3 linked regions of the Xenopus tropicalis genome follow. The protein of the gene in region 2 purifies or fractionates together with the protein of the main gene of each other region. This does not show direct contact. Links are inferred from orthologs where the notes say so. Each region holds a gene or a part of one and is shown on either strand. Other genes may lie near its edges.

The links. The genes of interacting proteins can lie anywhere in the genome.
Region 1: the proteins of bod1l1 (region 2) and setd1a purify together in Homo sapiens (affinity purification with mass spectrometry; 3 studies listed by BioGRID and IntAct, with this or other methods). This does not show direct contact. The link is inferred for Xenopus tropicalis from reciprocal best matches to the Homo sapiens genes BOD1L1 and SETD1A.
Region 3: the proteins of bod1l1 (region 2) and cxxc1 purify together in Homo sapiens (affinity purification with mass spectrometry; 5 studies listed by BioGRID and IntAct, counting the BioPlex papers as one, with this or other methods). This does not show direct contact. The link is inferred for Xenopus tropicalis from reciprocal best matches to the Homo sapiens genes BOD1L1 and CXXC1.

What each region holds. Positions count from the first base shown.
Region 1 is NC_030685.2:5,885,359-5,889,782, forward strand, and holds the start of setd1a (histone-lysine N-methyltransferase SETD1A), read right to left. Parts: upstream 2,991-4,424; 5' UTR 2,824-2,990; coding exon 2,785-2,823; exon of another isoform or gene 2,661-2,784; intron 2,655-2,660; exon of another isoform or gene 2,450-2,654; intron 1-2,449. UniProt on the Homo sapiens protein: Histone methyltransferase that catalyzes methyl group transfer from S-adenosyl-L-methionine to the epsilon-amino group of 'Lys-4' of histone H3 (H3K4) via a non-processive mechanism.
Region 2 is NC_030677.2:27,541,942-27,545,931, forward strand, and holds part of bod1l1 (biorientation of chromosomes in cell division protein 1-like 1), read right to left. Parts: intron 2,948-3,990; coding exon 2,823-2,947; intron 1,924-2,822; coding exon 1,733-1,923; intron 1,103-1,732; coding exon 512-1,102; intron 1-511. UniProt on the Homo sapiens protein: Component of the fork protection machinery required to protect stalled/damaged replication forks from uncontrolled DNA2-dependent resection.
Region 3 is NC_030684.2:1,147,534-1,152,319, reverse strand, and holds the start of cxxc1 (CXXC-type zinc finger protein 1), read right to left. Parts: upstream 2,991-4,786; 5' UTR 2,872-2,990; coding exon 2,869-2,871; intron 1-2,868. UniProt on the Homo sapiens protein: Transcriptional activator that exhibits a unique DNA binding specificity for CpG unmethylated motifs with a preference for CpGG.

The sequences.
Region 1 (4,424 bases), on a different chromosome or scaffold from region 2:
TCTAAGCATACTTTTGGCCAGTCTCTTGCCCTGCCTGTCTCCCCAATGCCCCCCCCCCCCCCCCCCACTCTTCTCTGTCTTCTAGTTACACTCAGCCCCTTCCTTCAGCACAGTATCCCAGGGAACAGTGGGCCCCTGACAAGCCTGGGGCCCCCTTGGGGGCATTAGATCATTAAGGAAAGTCCACCCTGCACCAGCCAGCTTTGGATGAGCAGCAATTCGTTGGCTGTTGGGAATAGTAGTGAAGCAACAGCCGGGGGGCTGCAGTAGGGAAGTAACAGCCGGGGGGCTGCAGTAGGGAAGTAACAGCCGGGGGGCTGCAGTAGGGAAGTAACAGCCGGGGGGCTGCAGTAGGGAAGCAGAAGCCGGGGGGCTGCAGTAGGGAAGCAGAAGCCGGGGGGCTGCAGTAGGGAAGCAGAAGCCGGGGGGCTGCAGTAGGGAAGCAGAAGCCGGGGGGCTGCAGTAGGGAAGCAGAAGCCGGGGGCTGCAGTAGGGAAGCAGAAGCCGGGGGGCTGCAGTAGGGAAGCAACAGCCGGGGGGCTGCAGTAGGGAAGCAGAAGCCGGGGGGCTGCAGTAGGGAAGCAGAAGCCGGGGGGCTGCAGTAGGGAAGCAGAAGCCGGGGGGCTGCAGTAGGGAAGCAGAAGCCGGGGGGCTGCAGTAGGGAAGCAGAAGCCGGGGGGCTGCAGTAGGGAAAGCAGAAGCCGGGGGGGCTGCAGTAGGGAAGCAACAGCCGGGGGGCTGCAGTAGGGAAGCAACAGCCGGGGGGCTGCAGTAGGGAAGCAACAGCCGGGGGGCTGCAGTAGGGAAGTAACAGCCGGGGGGCTGCAGTAGGGAAGTAACAGCCGGGGGGCTGCAGTAGGGAAGCAGAAGCCGGGGGCTGCAGTAGGGAAGCAGAAGCCGGGGGGCTGCAGTAGGGAAGCAGAAGCCGGGGGGCTGCAGTAGGGAAGCAACAGCCGGGGGCTGCAGTAGGGAAGCAACAGCCGGGGGGCTGCAGTAGGGAAGCAACAGCCGGGGGGCTGCAGTAGGGAAGCAACAGCCGGGGGGCTGCAGTAGGGAAGCAACAGCCGGGGGGCTGCAGTAGGGAAGCAACAGCCGGGGGGCTGCAGTAGGGAAGCAACAGCCGGGGGGCTGCAGTAGGGAAGCAACAGCCGGGGGGCTGCAGTAGGGAAGTAACAGCCGGGGGGCTGCAGTAGGGAAGTAACAGCCGGGGGGCTGCAGTAGGGAAGTAACAGCCGGGGGGCTGCAGTAGGGAAGCAGAAGCCGGGGGGCTGCAGTAGGGAAGCAGAAGCCGGGGGGCTGCAGTAGGGAAGCAGAAGCCGGGGGGCTGCAGTAGGGAAGCAGAAGCCGGGGGGCTGCAGTAGGGAAGCAGAAGCCGGGGGGCTGCAGTAGGGAAGCAGAAGCCGGGGGGCTGCAGTAGGGAAGCAGAAGCCGGGGGCTGCAGTAGGGAAGCAGAAGCCGGGGGGCTGCAGTAGGGAAGCAGAAGCCGGGGGGCTGCAGTAGGGAAGCAGAAGCCGGGGGGCTGCAGTAGGGAAGCAGAAGCCGGGGGGCTGCAGTAGGGAAGTAACAGCCGGGGGGCTGCAGTAGGGAAGCAACAGCCGGGGGGCTGCAGTAGGGAAGCAGAAGCCGGGGGGCTGCAGTAGGGAAGTAACAGCCGGGGGGCTGCAGTAGGGAAGCAGAAGCCGGGGGGCTGCAGTAGGGAAGTAAAAGCCGGGGGGCTGCAGTAGGGAAGTAACAGCCGGGGGCTGCAGTAGGGAAGCAGAAGCCGGGGGGCTGCAGTAGGGAAGCAGAAGCCGGGGGGCTGCAGTAGGGAAGCAAAAGCCGGGGGGCTGCAGTAGGGAAGTAACAGCCGGGGGGCTGCAGTAGGGAAGTAACAGCCGGGGGGCTGCAGTAGGGAAGCAGAAGCCGGGGGGCTGCAGTAGGGAAGCAGAAGCCGGGGGGCTGCAGTAGGGAAGTAAAAGCCGGGGGGCTGCAGTAGGGAAGTAACAGCCGGGGGGCTGCAGTAGGGAAGTAACAGCCGGGGGGCTGCAGTAGGGAAGCAGAAGCCGGGGGGCTGCAGTAGGGAAGCAGAAGCCGGGGGGCTGCAGTAGGGAAGCAGAAGCCGGGGGGCTGCAGTAGGGAAGCAGAAGCCGGGGGGCTGCAGTAGGGAAGTAAAAGCCGGGGGGCTGCAGGTTGGCCCCAGCTGATGTACGAAATGAAAGTACCTCAGAACTGACAATGTATCATGTGGCCCTTTGTCCATTTACTCCTTCCCACCCCCAGGGGTCCCGGGATGCTGGGGGGCCGGATACCCTGTGTGCCCTACCCACTAAGCAGCCGCGCAGTGTATCCGTTCCCTGGGTGCCCCTGTGCCCCTCGCATCGCCAGGTTCCCATTCCGGGGCAGCCCCTGTGCCCCTGCCCTCAGCCCCTCACTCCCGGCCTCCCCCGCCATGGCCGCCGCTCGCCGTTACCTTCCACACTGTGTCTCGGTGTTTATTTCCGCTGCTGATTTCCCTGCTTCTCACCTGACTGACGCGCTGTGTCCCTAGCTGTCTCTCCCCCGGATCCCTCTCTCGCTGCCTCCCGGTGGCGCTGCCTTGCCTTCCGCTCTGCCGCTTTCGCCCCGGCCCTGCCCCCTTTGCCTCACACAGGCTTCCCCACCGACTATTTAATTCCTCTTGCCTTTTCTGCCTCTCCCGCCGTAAAGCGGTCTCGTTTTCTTCACAAACGCGCTGAGTAAAATCCTATGTCCGCACCGCGCAGAGTGGAATCTGCAGCCACTGAAAGCGCAGACTGGTTTCCTCACCACCACTTTCCGACGCGGCACTTTCAACACAAACACCATAAAATAAGCGAAGCCATTTTTTCCCCGGACGGAGCACGGCTTCTCACTTTGTAACCCACTAATAACATAAAAGCAGCAGGGGTGGGTTTTTATTTTCCCTTTTACTGATTAAGAAATGTGGAATCTGCCGACCGCTGAAGGAAAGCTGAGTGACGTAGTATAAGGAGGGAGGAAAGGCGGGATTATGTTATAGAAAGGAGCGCAGGAAAGAAAAGGATGCAGATCTATAGTCCGACTCTATGGTTACGGGAGGACGGTTACCAGCCTGGAGCTGCTATAGGCTAGAGAGAACACGTGGTGTGGGGTTTTGTGTTCAACCCGCGCTGCCCAAATCGCCATTGGCTCTAAGTCAGCGCCTCTCACAGTCTGGCCAAATCCCTGCCCACTGGTCATATGGTCTGCGAACTGGGGACATTGGGCGGCCACAGAGTAAAGGCTCGGTCACAGTCAGGGTTTGGATAGAATAGAGACATTGGGCAGCCACAGAGGGGAGACTGGGTCACAGTCAGGACTTGGGTAGAATAGTGACATTGGGCAGCCACAGAGGGGAGATTGGGTCACAATTCAGAATTTGGATAGAATAGTGACATTGGGCAGCCACAGAGGGGAGACTGGGTCACAGTCAGGACTTGGATAGAATAGTGACATTGGGCAGCCACAGAGGGGAGATTGGGTCACAGTCAGGACTTGGGTAGAATAGTGACATTGGGCAGCCACAGAGGGGAGACTGAGTCACAGTCAGGACTTGGGTAGAATAGTGACATTGGGCAGCCACAGAGGGGAGACTGGGTCACAGCCAGGACTTGGGTAGAATAGTGACATTGGGCAGCCACAGAGGGGAGACTGGGTCACAGTCAGGACTTGGGTAGAATAGTGACATCGGGCAGCCACAGAGGGGAGACTGGGTCACAGTCAGAACTTGGGTAGAATAGTGACATTGGGCAGCCACAGAGGGGAGACTGAGTCACAGTCAGGACTTGGGTAGAATAGTGACATTGGGCAGCCACAGAGGGGAGACTGGGTCACAGCCAGGACTTGGGTAGAATAGTGACATTGGGCAGCCACAGAGGGGAGACTGAGTCACAGTCAGGACTTGGGTAGAATAGTGACATTGGGCAGCCACAGAGGGGAGACTGGGTCACAGTCAGGACTTGGGTAGAATAGTGACATTGGGCAGCCACAGAGGGGAGACTGGGTCACAGTCAGGACTTGGGTACAATAGTGACATTGGGCAGCAACAGAGGGGATACTGGGTCACAGCCAGGACTTGGGTAGAATAGTGACATTGGGCAGCCACAGAGGGGAGACTGGGTCACAGTCAGGACTTGGGTACAATAGTGACATTGGGCAGCAACAGAGGGGAGACTGGGTCACAGCCAGGACTTGGGTAGAATAGTGACATTGGGCGGCCACAGAGGGGAGACTGGGTCACAATTCAGAATTTGGATAGAATAGTGACATTGTGCAGCCACAGAGGGGGGACTGGGTCACAGTCAGGGTTTGGATAGAATAGTGACATTGGGCAGCCACAGAGGGGAGACTGGGTCACAGTCAGGGTTTGGATAGAATAGTGACATTGGGCAGCCACAGAGGGGAGATTG
Region 2 (3,990 bases):
TAGGGGTATATGCAAGCAAGAGACCCTTTGGTCTTTGTACATGCGCAGTAGAGTGAAAAGCCAAATTGACCAAAAAAGCCGGCTTTTGCTGCTGAAAGAAAGGATGGATTGTTCGCCTGCATTTACCCTGGGCTGGTGCAGTTTCTTTCTAACAGGAGCACTGGCCAGGGGTTTCAGGTGAGCAATTACAATCACTGGGGAGTGCCTAACATTGGGCACCTCCTAGTGATTTGGCCTTTCCTTCTCCTTTAATGATAAACACCCGTCTCAGTGCAAACAGGGTGCATTTTCAAACCAGAATCTGCCCTGTGGGTACATTGACAGGTGGTTGCAATTAAAATGAATGGAAAAACTCTCTCCCAATGAAAAACAGCAGAAAATCTGTTGTGTGAAATAGTCATATTTAAAGTCCAGTGTAATATGTCAGTGCAATATATAAAGAACATTTACACAAGAAGCATGTATGTTTTTGGAGTGTGGGAGGAAGCCAGAGAAGCCAAACAAATCCTACCTTCTTTTAAGGTGCTAGTTGCCTTCTGTTTACTGCTGCTCTTTTCTGGTTCGTTCTCACGTTCTTTCACCGTCTTATCCTCCTTAACCTTTACAACATCATCACCCTTTTTGGGGTACTCATTTCTTTTTTCAGTCTTTGCTTCCTTCTTATCCTCTTTCTTCTGTGCTATTTCACTGACCTCATTTTTCTTCTCACTCTCTACAGCTTTTGGCTTTTGCTCCTCATTTTCATTTGGAATGTCTTTGCTCTGTGAGATGCCAACTGCGTCAGGTTGTTTAAAGGCTTCTACAGTGGAAGAAATATCATTGGAATCTTCTGTCTTTATATCAGGTTCTGTTTCTGCAACCAGCATATCAGGGATGGATTTTTCCACCTCTTGAGTTTCCTCTAAAGTACGATCCTTTTCTTCTGTAGCATCAAAACTTTGCTGAATTGTTCTTTTGCTCACTTTGTCACTGTTTTTATTGTTCGGAGTTTCTATGAAGGCACGAGCAGCAGTTGCTTCTTGATTGAGTGAACTGATTGTTTCCAAAATGGACATTGCATCACTTGCTACATTGGTGCTAGGTCCAACTGCTGGTAGAGAACCTTGAGCAGAAAGTGTAACAGATACTATTAGGAAACTTATTTTTTTTCTACTTTTAGAAATTTGTAAAATTTCAAATTAAATCATGGCTGGTTAAGAAAAAAAAAGGTGCAGATACTAATTTGATATAAAATACAGGTATGTGATCAGTTATCTGGAAACCCATTATCCAGAAAGGTCCAAAACACTGGAAGCTTATCTCCATTTTAATCAAATAATTCAACATTTTAAATTGTATTTCCTTTTTCTCTGTAATAAAATAGTACCCTGTACTTGATCTATATAGGAGACAAAATAATTGAAACATTAAATAAACCCATTTTTTTTTTAGGAGACAAAGCAGTGCCGTCTAACTTTTTGCATGTATGTATCTGTGTGCAGATTATTTCTCATATAGCACGACTTGATTCTATTAAAATTATAATGTAATACAATGAAATCTATAGAGCCACCAACTAGACTGGGGGGGGCCATAAAAACCCTTTGGAGGGCCACATCAGGCCCACAGGACTCTAGTTGGACAGCCCTGAATTAAAGTATGTAGATCTAAATTATGGAATGGTCTGGAAAACCCAGGTCTCGAGCATTCCATATAACAGGTCCTATACCTGTACTTACAGACATACACATACCAGGAACAGAGATGGAGGCTTCTGATCGCTCCTCGTTTTGTTCTGTATTTACATTTCCATCCTCTTTATTATTCATCATGGCCAAATATTCTTTAACAACTTTTTCCACCTGAGGTCTGAATAAGTGGTTTATCTTTGGGTCGACAACCTGTGAAATAATTCTGTCAATGCCAGACTCTAGCATTCCAGACCTGCCAAAGCACCAAATAAAAGAATTGTAAATAACAGAAGAATTGTTTTTTTCATGAAACTGAAAACAATAAAAATATTGCTAAGTAATGAAGTATACAAGAACAACCATCGAAAGTAACGATAGCTATATAACGTGATAAACTTGCTCATGTCAATGGGACATTTAACTTCCAGTTTGAGCACTGTATAAAAAGACTCTTGAGGAGCAAAGATCTTGCTGGCCTATGGGACACAATATAATGCAGCATGTAATCCATAGTTCTTCAACTTTGGTCTTATCATGTGTTGCCTTTAGAGAGAGAGACAAAAACACACACACACACACACACACACGTGTGCATAGCTACTGCCTACAAATAAATAACTAATAATTCAAACCAGTGTTTTCCACTGCACAGAAGCACACCACTTACTGAATGGTCTACTGGCCCTGGTTACTTTTCCATTGAAGTACCAGTGATACCCTGCACTCTCCCAAATGGGCCTTGGGACAGTACAGAGGATCACTGGGACTTTAGGAAAAATGTCAGAGCACTACCTAATGGAAAACACCTGGACCAGTGCACTTGTCAGCAAAAAAGGTGTGCCAGTCCTAGGTCTAAGGTACCAACCCCCATTAATTAACACTTTACCATTTAATTATCCATAGTGTATGCATGCATTATCTATCTAGTCAAGTACTCTGCATCTAAATGTGAGTGAGCAAATTTTCCCCCTGTTACTCCACATCAATCATCTTACCATAATTCCAAAAATATCCAGGAAAGCAAACTGTTGTGTACTATGAATTTAACCTAACTGACCTTCAGCCTGGGACAAGCATCTAAAGAGTTGGGTTCCTGTAGTGGGTCAGTCCTGGGGAACTTTTGCCTTATGGCTATTAAAATCTATTACTTACTTAAGCACCTGCTGCCTGATGTTGTTCCTCAGCTGGTTCTTGTTTAGATGAGGACTCCATGTGTGGCTTGCTAAGTGACTGGCGACAAAGTTATCAACTCGCTGACGCAAATTTTGATACGCTGGCTACAAAAAAAAAACACAACCGGTTTTAAAATGGAAAATCTGTTTATGTCGTTTATGCCGTTACACAGCTAATTATAAATTATGCACTTATTGAATGTTCTTAGCCCTTGAGCCAAACGACTCACAATAACGGAATGAAGGCGGTTATCCTAGCCCCAACGGGACTTTCAAACCTGCCCAATTGACATCTGCCCAATTTTCAGCAATTTTCTGTCTGGCTCATCTGAAGACCCAATACAGTGGTTGATAAGCTGCCAACTCCATTGTGTCCATTGGCAGATAGTGTTTCAGCTCATCAATTAATTTCTCTTCCTAACAGTCCTTCTTCACCTTTAACATTATCCATATATTTATTCATGTGTTCCTAGTAGTGGGTAAAGTGTTTTCACCCTATAGCACAGATTACCATAATTCCTTGTTCTTCTTTACACTCTTATATAGACTGCCATACAAACGCGCAACTTTTTAAAAATAAAGCACTTGTACACAGTACTGCCAGACAATGTAATGTCAGACAATCAGAGGAAGTCAGGGTCCAAAGGCTTAAGGTGGCCATCCACGGGCCAATTGTAGCTGCCGATATCAGTCCCTTGGACCGATTCGGCAGCTTATCGGCCAGTGTAGGGGCAGGAAAGAGGGGCATGCCCGACCGATATCTGGGCTGAAATTGGGCAGATATCGATTGGGCAGGTTAAAAGATTTAGTCGGATCTGGGACCGCATCGGCTCGTTGATGCGGTCCATGAACCGACTTGCACCCATTGCTCCCTACAGTTTTCCAGATATCGCCCAACCGTAGGTGGAGATATCAGGAGAAGATCCGCTTGCTTGGCGACCTCGCCAAGCGAGTAGATCTTAACGTGTATGGCCACCTTTATTCAAGTACCTGAGGTTGCTAGTTGAACAATAGTTGAAGAGGGTTTATAAAAAGCAATTCAGTGTTAATGAGGAATAATTCACTTAAGACAGGCAGTAACATGTCCTCAACTGCAGTCAAGGATGAAAGGTGATGGCTGAAGAGATATATTTAGACAGAACTTATTG
Region 3 (4,786 bases), on a different chromosome or scaffold from region 2:
ACAATGCTGGGGGGCAGTGCCAGTGTGACACAGTATAACCCCCTGTACCCGTGGGGCCCATTAGTACAATGCTGGGGGGCAGTGCCAGTGTGACACAGTATAACCCCCTGTACCCGTGGGGCCCATTAGTACAATGCTGGGGGGGCAGTGCCAGTGTGACACAGTATAACCCCCTGTACCCGTGGGGCCCATTAGTACAATGCTGGGGGGCAGTGCCAGTGTGACACAGTATAACCCCCTGTACCCGTGGGGCCCATTAGTACAATGCTGGGGGGCAGTGCCAGTGTGACACAGTATAACCCCCTGTACCTGTGGGGCCCATTAGTACAATGCTGGGGGGGCAGTGCCAGTGTGACACAGTATAACCCCCTGTACCCGTGGGGCCCATTAGTACAATGCTGGGGGGCAGTGCCAGTGTGACACAGTATAACCCCCTGTACCTGTGAGGCCCATTAGTACAATGCTGGGGGGCAGTGCCAGTGTGACACAGTATAACCCCCTGTACCCGTGGGGCCCATTAGTACAATGCTGGGGGGGCAGTGCCAGTGTGACACAGTATAACCCCCTGTACCTGTGGGGCCCATTAGTACAATGCTGGGGGGCAGTGCCAGTGTGACACAGTATAACCCCCTGTACCCGTGGGGCCCATTAGTACAATGCTGGGGGGCAGTGCCAGTGTGACACAGTATAACCCCCTGTACCTGTGGGGCCCATTAGTACAATGCTGGGGGGCAGTGCCAGTGTGACACAGTATAACCCCCTGTACCCGTGGGGCCCATTAGTACAATGCTGGGGGGCAGTGCCAGTGTGACACAGTATAACCCCCTGTACCCGTGGGGCCCATTAGTACAATGCTGGGGGGCAGTGCCAGTGTGACACAGTATAACCCCCTGTACCCGTGGGGCCCATTAGTACAATGCTGGGGGGCAGTGCCAGTGTGACACAGTATAACCCCCTGTACCTGTGGGGCCCATTAGTACAATGCTGGGGGGCAGTGCCAGTGTGACACAGTATAACCCCCTGTACCCGTGGGGCCCATTAGTACAATGCTGGGGGGCAGTGCCAGTGTGACACAGTATAACCCCCTGTACCCGTGGGGCCCATTAGTACAATGCTGGGGGGCAGTGCCAGTGTGACACAGTATAACCCCCTGTACCCGTGGGGCCCATTAGTACAATGCTGGGGGGCAGTGCCAGTGTGACACAGTATAACCCCCTGTACCCGTGGGCCCATTAGTACAATGCTGGGGGGGCAGTGCCAGTGTGACACAGTATAACCCCCTGTACCCGTGGGGCCCATTAGTACAATGCTGGGGGGGCAGTGCCAGTGTGACACAGTATAACCCCCTGTACCTGTGGGGCCCATTAGTACAATGCTGGGGGGGCAGTGCCAGTGTGACACAGTATAACCCCTGTACCCGTGGGGCCCATTAGTACAATGCTGGGGGGCAGTGCCAGTGTGACACAGTATAACCCCCTGTACCCGTGGGGCCCATTAGTACAATGCTGGGGGGCAGTGCCAGTGTGACACAGTATAACCCCCTGTACCCGTGGGGCCCATTAGTACAATGCTGGGGGGGCAGTGCCAGTGTGACACAGTATAACCCCCTGTACCCGTGGGGCCCATTAGTACAATGCTGGGGGGCAGTGCCAGTGTGACACAGTATAACCCCCTGTACCTGTGGGGCCCATTAGTACAATGCTGGGGGGGCAGTGCCAGTGTGACACAGTATAACCCCCTGTACCCGTGGGGCCCATTAGTACAATGCTGGGGGCAGTGCCAGTGTGACACAGTATAACCCCCTGTACCCGTGGGGCCCATTAGTACAATGCTGGGGGGCAGTGCCAGTGTGACACAGTATAACCCCCTGTACCCGTGGGGCCCATTAGTACAATGCTGGGGGGCAGTGCCAGTGTGACACAGTATAACCCCCTGTACCCGTGGGGCCCATTAGTACAATGCTGGGGGGCAGTGCCAGTGTGACACAGTATAACCCCCTGTACCCGTGGGGCCCATTAGTACAATGCTGGGGGCAGTGCCAGTGTGACACAGTATAACCCCCTGTACCCGTGGGGCCCATTAGTACAATGCTGGGGGGCAGTGCCAGTGTGACACAGTATAACCCCCTGTACCCGTGGGGCCCATTAGTACAATGCTGGGGGGCAGTGCCAGTGTGACACAGTATAACCCCCTGTACCCGTGGGGCCCATTAGTACAATGCTGGGGGGGCAGTGCCAGTGTGACACAGTATAACCCCCTGTACCCGTGGGGCCCATTAGTACAATGCTGGGGGGGCAGTGCCAGTGTGACACAGTATAACCCCCTGTACCCGTGGGGCCCATTAGTACAATGCTGGGGGGGCAGTGCCAGTGTGACACAGTATAACCCCCTGTACCCGTGGGGCCCATTAGTACAATGCTGGGGGGCAGTGCCAGTGTGACACAGTATAACCCCCTGTACCCGTGGGGCCCATTAGTACAATGCTGGGGGGGCAGTGCCAGTGTGACACAGTATAACCCCCTGTACCCGTGGGGCCCATTAGTACAATGCTGGGGGGGCAGTGCCAGTGTGACACAGTATAACCCCCTGTACCTGTGGGGCCCATTAGTACAATACACACAGGGGGCGGGGCTACACACAAGGGGCGGGGATACACACAGGGGGCGGGGCTACACACACACACAGGGGATACACACAGGGTTAAGGCGCTGGATACAGCCAATAGCAATGTGAGGGGACTCCCCCCCCCACCCCGATACCCCCGCACCCCAGGGGACCCCCACAAACCCTTCCCGGGCCCCCCCCAAACCCACCCCCACACCATCCCCGGGTACAGCGCACTCAGCGCATCGGATAATATTGTCTCACCATCTCTCCTCCCGTAGCAACAACATCCACTTCCGCTTCCGGGTCCCTCTCCGTGACGCGCACACCCCGTGACCAGCGCTGCGGCCGGAAGTACCTGCGAGAGAGCGGGAAGTGGGGAACTGAGGGTTAATGTGTGTGTGGGGGCGGGGCCGGGGCGGCTCAGAGGGGATTGTGGGACACGGAGGGAAGGGGGAGGAGCTGAGAGTGAGAGGCTATTCCGTACAACATTGAGACGCTGTGGCCACGCCCCCCCTACACGCCCCTCCCACATTACTAGACTTGGCGGGTTTTGTGAAGTTTGAACACATTTCTGGGTATTTTTTTTAGCTACTGAAGGTGAAGTTGCCCTTTAACCTGCAAAACTCACTCCCCCAATGGGACCCATTTAGCTGATTAGTTACACTTGTACCTCAGTGAGGGGGGTATTCCCTTATCTAATTACATTTGGGGAACTGTGTATCTTTCCACAGGGAAATGAGGGGCTTTTGTGTAAGAATCTGAGAGCTGGGGGGGGGGGGGGTATGTTATACACGGGGCATTAGCAAAGCTGAGTCAGTAGCAGTAGCGCCAGTGGGGCGGGATATGGGCCCAACGCTGTTATTATTGCGCTTAGCAGCCCCCCCTCCCTCCCATTTAGCAGCCCCTTGTTATGTGCTTAATGGTTAGGGACCCCCCCCCCCCCCCCCCAGTAACTGGGGAAGTAAATCAGCTTTACTGGCAGCTTTAGAGCCGAAGCCATGAGTTTGCTTCATTACTGAATCCCAGCGGCTCTGTAAGTGTGTCTGTCACTGGGGAGCGTGTGAGTAATGCAGCCCCCCCCCCCATACTGTACTGTCTAAGGGAAACACTATGGCACCCCCTACCCATATGTATAAATACAAATATACAGAGAAGGAATGTTCTGGGCACACAATAAGCTGTACCCCCATACTGTACTGTCTAAGGGAAACACTATGGCACCCCCTACCCATATGTATAAATACAAATATACAGAGAGGGAATGTTCTGGGCACACAATAAGCTGTACCCCCATACTGTACTGTCTAAGGGAAACACTATGGCACCCCCTACCCATATGTATAAATACAAATATACAGAGAGGGAATGTTCTGGGCACACAATAAGCTGTACCCCCATACTGTACTGTCTAAGGGAAACACTATGGCACCCCCTACCCATATGTATAAATACAAATATACAGAGAGGGAATGTTCTGGGCACACAATAAGCTGTACCCCCATACTGTACTGTCTAAGGGAAACACTATGGCACCCCCTACCCATATGTATAAATACAAATATACAGAGAGGGAATGTTCTGGGCACACAATAAGCTGTACCCCCATACTGTACTGTCTAAGGGAAACACTATGGCACCCCCTACCCATATGTATAAATACAAATATACAGAGAGGGAATGTTCTGGGCACACAATAACCTGTACCCCCATACTGTACTGTCTAAGGGAAACACTATGGCACCCCCTACCCATATGTATAAATACAAATATACAGAGAGGGAATGTTCTGGGCACACAATAAGCTGTACCCCCATACTGTACTGTCTAAGGGAAACACTATGGCACCCCCTACCCATATGTATAAATACAAATATACAGAGAGGGAATGTTCTGGGCACACAATAAGCTGTACCCCCATACTGTACTGTCTAAGGGAAACACTATGGCACCCCCTACCCATATGTATAAATACAAATATACAGAGAGGGAATGTTCTGGGCACACAATAAGCTGTACCCCCATACTGTACTGTCTAAGGGAAACACTATGGCACCCCCTACCCATATGTATAAATACAAATATACAGAGAGGGAATGTTCTGGGCACACAATAAGCTGTACCCCCATACTGTACTGTCTAAGGGAAACACTATGGCACCCCCTACCCATATGTATAAATA